Schizosaccharomyces pombe: one gene and its partner. The protein of the gene in region 1 binds, or shares a complex with, the protein of each later gene. Each region holds a gene or a part of one and is shown in the gene's direction. Other genes may lie near its edges.

Region 1 (7,592 bases):
GAGTTTTGGATATAATCCCTTTTACTTCTACGAGAAAGCGTATGAGCGTGATAATTCGTGATGAGGATGGTATAATTCATTTAATTTGTAAAGGTGCGGATACGGTAATATTTCCAAGGCTTTCCAGCGGACAAAACAATATCATTGAAAAGACGAAGAAGCATTTAGCTTCATTTTCATCCGAAGGATTTCGTACGTTATGTATCGCTCGTCGAACTATTGATAAGCAAGATTATCTTGAATGGAAAGTGAATTTCAACGAAGCTAATAGTGCCATTCATGAACGGAACGAAAAGGTCAGTAAAGTTTCAGAGATGATTGAGCAAGAGCTTGAATTACTCGGTGGAACAGCAATTGAAGATAAACTTCAAGAGAATGTACCAGAAACTATCGCTCTTTTGGCTATTGCTGGAATTAAGTTGTGGGTGTTGACTGGTGATAAGGTAGAAACGGCAATCAACATTGGGTATTCATGCAATCTTCTTGATCCAAACATGACTATTTTTCGAATTGATGCAAACTCTTTCGGTGCCTTAGAAGAAGTAGAAGCTTTTATTAGAAACACATTATGCTTTAATTTTGGATACATGGGAACGGATGAAGAATTCAGATTTTTGTTGAAAGACCACAGTCCGCCATCTCCGAAACACGCCATAGTTATTGATGGGGATGCCCTGAACTTTGTTTTGTCTGAACAGGTCTCTTTTCTTTTTTTAATGTTATGTAAGCAGTGTAAGACAGTTTTGTGCTGCAGGGTTAGTCCCTCTCAGAAGGCAGCTGTTGTTGCTTTAGTCAAGAAGAGTCTAAATGTTGTCACTTTAGCAATTGGAGATGGCGCTAATGATGTTTCGATGATTCAAGAAGCCGACGTTGGAGTAGGGATAAAAGGCGTTGAAGGGCAAGCAGCTTCAATGTCGGCGGATTATGCCATCGGTCAATTTTCTTTCCTAGGGCGACTACTTCTAGTTCATGGACGATGGGACTATAAAAGAATGTCTCAAATGATTTCATTCTTTTTTTACAAAAATGTTATTTGGACATTTATACTTTTTTGGTATCAATTTTATAACGAGTTTGATGGAAACTACATATTTGATTATACCTACGTGATGCTTTTTAATCTGCTGTTCACATCACTACCCGTAATTATTGCAGGTTGTTTTGACCAGGACGTTGACGCATCTGTTTCAATGAAAAATCCAAGCTTATACCAACGGGGAATTTTAGGTCTAGAATGGAACGGAAAGAGATTTTGGTAAGTATAACTCTGAAGATTTCTGTTTGCTAAATATTTATTTTAGGTCTTACATGCTAGATGGAATATATCAATCATTGGTATGCTTTGGGGTAGCTCTATTTGTTTTTAAGTTTGGTGATTTTGTAAGTTGGACTGGAAGGAACATCGAGTGTATAGAAGACATAGGACTTTTTATATCCTCTCCTACTATTTTTGTAATCAACATTTTTATATTGATGAATCAAGAGAGATTGAATTTAATATCACTTATTACTTGGATGTTCAGCATAGGTGTATTTTGGATATGGACATTTATTTATTCAGAAGTTGGCCCCTCTTACGCTTTCCACAAATCAGCTTCGCGAACTTGTCAAACTTTTGGCTTTTGGTGTGTTACTGTTTTAACCATTGCCTTATGTTTGTTGCCTCGCTTTTCCTATATTTGCTTACAAAAATTGTTTTATCCTAGAGATATTGACCTTTTACGGAGACGACTTTGTGCAAAGTCAGATGATGAGACTAGCAGTAGTTCATCATTTGCAACAGATATAGAAATGTGCGAACAATGTAACGACCCATTAAGTTCGAAAAAAAATTCCGGTATTGTTACTTCAGTTTCATTCGATGATTCTAATAAGTAGCCATACATCTGAGTTCGCACTGTTTGTTTATGTAGTTATACTACTCCTACCGGACGAGAGTCTTTTTATTATCCTCAACATCACGAATGACTTTTTCTTAATGTTCCCTTTTTTTTCTAATAATTAATGATTATGATTAAGTCATTTTTTTAATAATCTTATAATAAACTAACATTATGAGACAAGCAAACTTCGTATGGTTGAATAAATTTTATTTACCTCTTTACAATGAGGACGATAAGTATGTAGAATGTAAAAAATATTAAACCCGAATTAATGTCTCAAGTTTTATTAATCTATAAACAGTTAATATAATTAGCAAAATTTACCAGCTGCTAATAAGTGCGTTGCAAATTTTTATAGTACATAGCGTAGTATAGTATACTACACTAATTATCACTCATTGGCTTGTTAACTACAGTGAAAATGCTAACAAACGGGAGGAACCAAAACACCACTTATACCACTGTGAGACAGCAATTTTTGAATTGCATTACAATCCGAAAATTCAAATGCCTCCATCTTCCTCTATAACTCAAGAGGATAAGGCAACTATCCGTAAATACATACCTAAAAGCACAAATAAAATCATTGCAGCAGCCGTCGTCAAGCTATATGTAGCTTATCCTGATCCGAACAAATGGAATTATACAGGTCTTTGTGGTGCTCTTGTATTGTCCTATGATACAACAGCAAAATGCTGTTGGTTTAAACTGGTTGACGTTGTGGTATGTGTATGAAGCTTTGATACTCAAAGCAAACTACAAAGAGTGGTATACAATTTAATTGAATTATAACCTTCTAACGTTTTAGAATAATAGTGGTATAATATGGGACCAAGAGCTTTATCAAAATATGGACTATCGCCAAGATCGTACATTTTTTCATTCTTTCGAGCTTGATAAATGCCTAGCAGGTTTTAGTTTTGCAAACGAGACAGACGCTCAAAAATTTTACAAAAAGGTTTTAGATAAAGGTTGCCATCCTGAATCAATTGAGAATCCGGTTTTGTCATTTATTACCAGAAAAGGTTCTTCTAGACATGCGCCTAACAACAGCAATATCCAACCTCCCTCAGCTGCTCCTCCTGTACCTGGAAAGGAAAATTATAATGCTGTTGGATCTAAAAGTCCCAATGAGCCCGAGCTTTTAAATTCGCTTGATCCGAGCTTAATTGATTCTCTAATGAAGATGGGCATTTCCCAGGATCAAATTGCTGAAAACGCAGATTTCGTCAAAGCGTACCTTAATGAATCAGCTGGTACACCTACCAGTACTTCTGCACCTCCCATCCCTCCAAGCATTCCTTCCTCTCGTCCCCCAGAGCGTGTTCCTTCTTTGTCTGCACCTGCTCCTCCCCCAATTCCACCTCCATCTAATGGAACTGTCTCTTCTCCTCCTAACTCCCCTCCCCGTCCTATCGCTCCTGTTTCGATGAATCCTGCTATTAATTCCACCTCGAAACCTCCACTCCCTCCACCATCTTCAAGAGTCAGTGCGGCAGCTCTAGCTGCTAACAAAAAACGACCTCCTCCGCCTCCGCCTCCATCCCGTCGTAATCGTGGTAAACCACCGATTGGTAATGGTTCTTCTAACTCGTCTCTTCCTCCACCTCCACCACCTCCTAGATCTAATGCTGCTGGCTCAATTCCTTTGCCGCCTCAAGGTAGATCTGCTCCTCCTCCACCTCCTCCAAGGTCTGCTCCTTCCACTGGGAGACAACCACCCCCTTTATCTTCATCTCGTGCAGTTTCAAACCCACCAGCCCCTCCTCCAGCTATTCCTGGTCGTTCTGCGCCTGCACTTCCCCCTCTTGGTAATGCATCACGAACAAGCACACCTCCTGTCCCTACACCTCCTTCTCTTCCTCCTAGTGCACCTCCATCTTTGCCCCCCAGTGCACCACCTTCTCTACCTATGGGCGCACCAGCTGCTCCCCCCCTACCACCTAGTGCACCAATTGCTCCTCCTCTACCCGCTGGTATGCCAGCTGCTCCACCATTGCCTCCCGCTGCACCAGCTCCTCCTCCAGCTCCAGCTCCTGCGCCCGCCGCGCCTGTTGCTTCGATAGCTGAATTGCCTCAACAAGACGGCCGTGCTAATTTAATGGCCAGTATCAGAGCCAGCGGTGGTATGGATTTACTGAAAAGCAGGGTAAGTATTGATATTATTACTTAATGGTTACTCGTACTAATATTTTCCAGAAAGTATCTGCTTCTCCTAGTGTCGCATCTACAAAAACTTCGAATCCTCCGGTAGAAGCACCCCCTTCTAACAATCTTATGGATGCATTGGCAAGCGCTTTGAACCAACGTAAAACCAAAGTCGCTCAGAGTGGTATGTCCGGATTTCTCGTATTTTTTTTCAAAAGTTCTTAAGTTTACTAATTCTTTCAGACGAAGAGGATGAAGACGACGATGAGTGGGACTAGTTATTAATATCTTTGAAATTACCTATACTTTTTTGATTCACACAGTCTTTTAAAGTTTTGTTAAACGACTTCACTATTTTTATTTGGATTTGTGTTTATTGTATTAGAGCAAACACCATTTATTCTAAATTGAATAACGCGAATTTGTGTTGATATTACTATTCATATATCGCAACACAGTGTGTATCTTTACTTTATTGTAAGTATGGGAGCAGTCACACATTTCGGTACCACAACTTTAGAAACGTCAAGTTCAAGTCCTTCCACAACCAAAAACGTTTGGTCAAATAGAAACAAATGGATCCCTCCAAATTGGCTAAGTTGCAGGCTGGCGCTCGTATTGGTATGTTCGAATGCATCCCCGTGTTTTGAAGTTGACACCAGCTCTAAGAAATGCCTTGAACGGTTTCAAAGTGGTTCCACTGTAATTGATGCTGGCTATTGAAAACACAGTTGTACTTTTTTCATAGAGAACTGCTTAATTAACTTATCATTGTATAGGTGGAAAGGGTACCCCTCGTCGTAAGGTGAAGAAGCCTTCTAAGTCTGCCATGAGTGCTGCTGATGACAAGAAGGTTCAAGGTGCCTTGAAAAAGTTGAATATGCAAAACCTTGCTGGCATCCAAGAGGTTAACATGTTCAAGGAAGATGGCGGAGTCATTAATTTCCGTGCACCTACCGTTCATTCCTCGCTTCCTAATGAAACTACAGCTATCTATGGTAAAGCAGAGGAAAAGACTTTGTCTGAGATTTTGCCTGGCATTTTGAACAACCTTGGTCCTGAATCCTTGACTGCCCTTCGTCAAATGGCTGAGCAATTAAAGGTCAGTGAAGGTGAAAAGGGAGCTGATGCACAAGCCGACGATGGAGAAATTCCTGACCTTGTCGAAAAGTTTGACGAACAAGATTAAATAAGCAACAAAATATTTCATGTCGGATTTTTGACTCAAGATTTGGGTGCTAATATATGTAAAGTGACTATGGTATTATCAGTAATTTGAAAAATCGTAATTATGTAATTCGTAAGATAAAGATTTTAGCAAATTTAAGTGCAGTAAGCGAGGGATATACTGACGCTTTGTAAATGCACGTTGGCAAGGTACAAGAGGTCTCTCTTGTACTTGTTAAGGTTATACAATTCAACCATTTTCAATATATAGTTTTCTTTGATTAATTTGGTTAAAAAATCTTTGCTGTCATTTTCCTTATAAGTAAGCTTGGCAATAATCTTTTTAAAGATGGTTTGGACTTATTCAAGAATTGCGGAAATTAGCCTACGTTAAGCATTTACTTCGTATTGTTAATAGGAATCGCTAATTTCAATAAACTAAATTTTCGATGCGGCGTGGTAGGCAATTATTGCAGAACACCCACGTTCCACAGTAAGTGCATCTCCCCCACACGATTGTCGCCGCTACCCCCGCTCAGCTGTATTTGTCGTTATTTATTGCAACGGCGTTATTGTTACGTTTTTCCACCTAAAACCTTTACAACAAACAGATTTGCTGGTTGTTAAAAGATAACAAGGATTTTTTACTTTAAGAGAGAAAGTGCTAAAATTATGAATTCAGAAGCAAGTGTATTTAGTAATATGGATTGGTAAGTTTTTTTCCTGGGATTTACCACATTTTACGATTTTCAAAAAATTGCGTTTCTGATACGCTTGAAATACTTTGAGTTTCAAATTGCCTTGTACTAACAACTTATGTTTTGTAGGAGCCAGCTGGCACATTCGTTACATAAAAAAGCAAATAACTCGAGTTCTTCAACAACTGGTGCTTTTCCTCAGTTAACATCTTTTACTAAACCTACTGCCACAAATGGAGTGGATTCTCCTACATCGTCTCATATTGACCCTTCTGTTTCTGCAAAATTGGATTCACAAAGAAAACTGTCTTTAAAAAGTGGCAATATGTGGGACTCTTTAAATGCACCTTCTGAATTGACTAGCAAAAATCCTACAGTATCGTCAACAACCTCATCAGCAAACCCAGCCATTGTTTCAAATGGTGGTTCTCCTTTTTATAAAAATCCAGTTGTTGCAAATAATCCAAGTAGCACCTTTGATATGTCTACCAATTTGTTTAATTCTAAAAATGCCAACACCTCTTTTACAAACGCTTTTTCTAATGAGGGCATATCTCCTGGATTTTTAAGGGATTGTTTTCCATCCTCGAATTCTATAACAACGGGCACAGCTTCTCCCAAACTGGGGAGCCCTTTTAATCATATCAATCGTCCTGTATTAGATCGCAGCCCTTCTTCATTTTCTCAAAGTCGCTCAGCGGTTTCTGGTAATATGAATCCCGGTGTTGGGACTTTGCAACAGCCGCAGCGTGCTGGTTCTGATACTTTTCCTGACTTGAACACTTCTTCAAGCAATCAACCAGGTGGGGAACCGAATGTTGCTTCAGCTAATACTCATTCTCTTGAAATTCTATCAAGCTCTGCTTACCATCCTTCTGGATCATCAAATGGAATATCTGCAGGTTTAACACAATCCGTGGCTTCTCCTGTTGGACAGGTTGATAATCTCGCAGATTTCTCTCAGTCCCCACTACGCAGAGGTCCATCTCGATTTCCCACTAATTCCAACGTTCCAGTGGGAAATTCAATGAGTATTAGAGACACTGATTCTCCACTAAATATTCTTGTTGATAAGGCCAAAGCTAAAGCATCTATTAAAGAGAACGCGTCCCAACCTGTTGCACCAAGCGCATCTCAACGTGAGCATTCTGCTGTCAATAGTCCTGCGGCTGCTATGTCTCCCTCTACAGCTATGTTTTCTTCGGAGGCGTTTCCTCAGCACTTGGCTTCGTTAATTCCTCCCGCTCTTCTGCATTGGCTTTATAAAGACCCTCAAAATAATGTCCAAGGCCCCTTTACTGGAGTAGATATGCATCAATGGTATAGAGCTGGTTATTTTCCTCTTGGCTTGCCAATAAAGAGGCTAGAAGAAGAAGAGTATTACTCTCTTGCCTTTTTTATTCGTCAGGTGGGCAACCAGTTGGAACCCTTCTTGGTTCCTCTATCACCTGTAACTGTTCAAAACGCCTCTTGGAATGCTCAAGGAACCGATCTTCCTTTGAGCAATTATCTTCCGGAGAGCTCTGAACAAAATAGAGGTGGAAACAAACACCTTGAATTATATCCCAGTACTGCGGAAGTTTCAAATGTTAGAAATGATGAATCAAAAGCAAACTCGTTATCTGAGATTTCCTATAATCAGCAATCCGAGTGCCGAAGTTCTGAGCTCAATGTTAATGAAGACAGTGCTAACCAA
Region 2 (3,381 bases), on another chromosome or scaffold:
TGCCTTTTATCGCAAAATTATGAGCACGCTGCAAATTTGCTCTCAGTTTTGTATGTGATCTAAAAAAACTTTAATTTTTTATTAACCTATGTGATTAGTGCTGAAATTGAGTTTAATATCGATATGTTGATACAGTTGGACAAGTTAGTTCAATTAATAGAATCCCCGGTCTTCACATGTGGGTGCAATTGAATAATTGTTTTACATATTACTAATGACATTAGATATGCGCTTACAATTATTAGAGCCTGAAAAATACCCGTACCTTCACAAAGCCCTGTATGGGATATTGATGTTGTTACCTCAGTCTTCAGCGTTTCGGACCTTAAGAGATCGACTTCAGTGCTCTTCAACTCCAAGGACAAATACTATTTTAGCTAATGAAAGGTTACCTCGATCAAGGCGGGATGATCCATACTGGACGGACCTTCTTGAAAGGCTGAAAGCGGTACAGCTATCGCATCAAAACAATTACAGAGAACCCATCCGTGCTACTAGATTAGCTCTTGCAGGAGCATTACCATCAACCCCAACTGCCACTACAATATCTACTACAACCTCGGCGTCCGGAATTACAACTACAGCATCGAACTCTCGTGATTCCTTTATAACAAGGCTTCCACCAACTGCAGCTTTATCAACCGGTGCGAGAAAGAAGCCAAAACAGTGATGTATTTAATTAATAAGTGATATAATGATCATATGGTATAGAAAGAGGAATGTTAATAATTAAGTATTTTTGATGCAATGGAAAGGTGTCGGTAAATGAACGAGCGTAAACAAGGACAGTAAGAATATCATGCTAAAGTAAACAGTGCAGATTAGTCAGAAGAAAAAGGAATTATACTAATGGATGATAGGTTATGGAAGTCAACCCGGTTAACGCAGACAGAACGTAAGCATCTATTAAAAGAGCAACACATGAAGGTAAAAAAAAATGTCCAGTCAATTGAATAATGAAAGGTATAATTTATTCTCCCCAGTGCATATACTTTTCAATTCCATAAGAAAATAAACCAAAACCAGCGCCTCCTAGAACAATTGCCTTAGGTCCTGAACGCACAGCCAAAGCTCCACCTGTAAAAACACCGGCGGCGATGGCGTTATAAATATCAGTTTTAGCACGAAATGCCTCTATACAGCATTCTGAACCGGAATAGATTAAACCCAATAAACCAAAATTTTTGGCAGTAGAGAATGAGCGGCTACCCATATCCCTTGCTTGAATACGAATTTGTTCACGAAATGGCTTCTCATAGATCTTGGGATCAATGTGTTGCAAATCCAGAGAGGAAATGAACATACCAAATATACCACCCAAGCCAAAACCTAGTACACCGGCCATGCTACTTTTAAAGACGCAGCTTTCTGATATCCTGTTCATGTAGCCGATTATTTTTGCTTGTTGTAAAGCAGCTTTTTCTTCTGGTGTCAAATTTCCATCTGCATTGGGCGAATTTCCACCCAGATTCGGCGGCAATAATCCAGAAAGCGACATAGTTTGTTTGTTCTGCAAAGGCGCTGTGTAAAAAACCGAAAGGGTACTAAAATATAAATTTCTTTTTAAACTGTCGTTTCAAAATAACAAAAAATTATTCTACAATAATGTAACGAAAATATGCGATAACCGTGGTAATTCGAAGGAGATTAAGAGACGCGCCGAAACTATTAATTATACACTATCACTAACTCTCTTACATATAAGTAATAACTGAAGCTATGTTTTCTAATCAAACAATAAGGGTTAGTTTGCTATGCCCTACTACCGCTCCCAAAAGACAGTCACGGTAATATCAGAGTTCGACAAACATGAAAAACGAATGCGTCAACGATTGAATCACTTCCAACTACAACAATAGTCTTTTATTTTGATCCAAAATGTCTGTTGAATCACAACCTGTAGAGAAAATTTCTGAGCTTCCTGCTGGATCCACCACCGTTGTCCATGCTGAGAAGGCTCAAAAATTGATTCAAAAGTTGGGTCTTAAACGTGTTGAGGGAATCACTCGTGTCGCTATGCGTCGTCCTAAGAACATTTTGTTGATTATCAACGAGCCTATTGTTTATAAGAGTAGCAATAATGCTTACATCGTCCTTGGAAAGGTTACTGTTGAAGATATGGCTGCCCAAGCTCGTGCCTTCAACGAGTCTCAAAAGCAAGCTACTGAGACTAAGGAAGAAGCTGCTATTACCGAAGAATCCGGCGATGCTCAACCCGCCGATACTGCTAAAATAGAGGAGTCTTTTGAGCAAGAAAAAGCCGTTGATGAAACTGGTGTTGATGCTAAGGATATTGAGTTGGTTATGGCCCAAGCTAATGTTTCTCGCGCCAAGGCCGTTACTGCTTTGAAGGAAAACAACAGTGATGTTGTTAACGCCATCATGTCTCTTACCATGTAAAAGTATTAAATACAACTTTTTGCTTTTTACCCTCATGTTGTTTTTTTCGTTGTAAAAGTAATTGTATGTTTACATTTTTCCATTTCGCATAATCTTTTTGTAATAATGTGTGACTCATTAACACAGCTTTAGTCAGTCATGAATACGGCTAAAGCATGGCTCAAATAATCAAAGTCAATAATTTTTTTGTTTACTCATGATATGCGGATATTTCACACAATGGTCAACCTTTGTTTGACTGCATAATTTCAGAACTAGTCAACTTTGTCTTACTCAATGTAACTTGTCAATGGCAGCAAGTTCGTTTGCTAGCTTATTCAATTTTCGATATCAAACTGTCCGTGAATCAATCGTGACAGAAGTATTTGTTTCAGATGAACAAGGAGCACAGAGATGAATCATCTGACGATGATTAAATCTTTATTTTCAAAATATGGATTCTAGCTTCTTGATTATCATCTGCAATGTTTGCAGCTCATTAATTATGTAAAAAAAAATGTTGATGAAATTAGTTTTTGGTTTCATATAAACGGTTTTTACTATTAGGCAACAGAAGTAGTTTATTTCTAATTCTGATTTCGTTCAATCAGTTGAATGTATTCACAGGCATGCGAATAAGTGATCCATTAATGACTATTTTAAAGTTCGCAGCACTTTTAGTGATCCTCAACAATATTAAAATTCGAGCTTTACACGATTTAGTTTTTAAACACAAAAAAATTTGTAAGATACCAATGCGGAAATAATAAAGGATAAAATTTTTTGATTTTAATGATGCTTATTATTTTGCATGTAATTTTAACACAAGATTTAACTTGTATGTTTCCAATTAGTTCTAAATAGCTGTAGTATATCGCGGATGGAAACACTTGAAATATTTGGATAAACCAAGTACCCACGCATAAAATAGGACCAAGATTGTATGTATGATCAAACAAAAGTGAAAGTAATCCAAACGAGTAGATCCGAATAACTAATAAA

What was found. Proteins that work in one complex are often made in the same cells at the same time.
Region 2: btf3 (region 1) and egd2 share a complex: the UniProt entries of both Schizosaccharomyces pombe proteins name them as parts of the nascent polypeptide-associated complex.

The regions. Positions count from the first base shown.
Region 1 is NC_003424.3:4,858,247-4,865,838, reverse strand, and holds btf3 (nascent polypeptide-associated complex beta subunit), read left to right. Parts: upstream 1-4,574; 5' UTR 4,575-4,606; coding exon 4,607-4,652; exon of another isoform or gene 4,653-4,810; coding exon 4,811-5,220; 3' UTR 5,221-5,303; downstream 5,304-7,592. Other genes in the region: SPOM_SPAC4F10.16C (P-type ATPase), read left to right, coding at 1-1,255, 1,302-1,878; wsp1 (actin assembly factor), read left to right, coding at 2,391-2,606, 2,692-4,032, 4,083-4,215, 4,275-4,309; mpd2 (GYF domain protein), read left to right, coding at 5,871-5,908, 6,026-7,592. UniProt on the Schizosaccharomyces pombe protein: Component of the nascent polypeptide-associated complex (NAC), a dynamic component of the ribosomal exit tunnel, protecting the emerging polypeptides from interaction with other cytoplasmic proteins to ensure appropriate nascent protein targeting.
Region 2 is NC_003423.3:3,273,976-3,277,356, reverse strand, and holds egd2 (nascent polypeptide-associated complex alpha subunit Egd2), read left to right. Parts: upstream 1-1,834; 5' UTR 1,835-1,878; coding exon 1,879-2,400; 3' UTR 2,401-2,429; downstream 2,430-3,381. Other genes in the region: vac14 (phosphatidylinositol synthesis protein), read left to right, coding at 1-50, 99-178, 225-670; TIM22 inner membrane protein import complex subunit Tim22, read right to left, coding at 971-1,498. UniProt on the Schizosaccharomyces pombe protein: Component of the nascent polypeptide-associated complex (NAC), a dynamic component of the ribosomal exit tunnel, protecting the emerging polypeptides from interaction with other cytoplasmic proteins to ensure appropriate nascent protein targeting.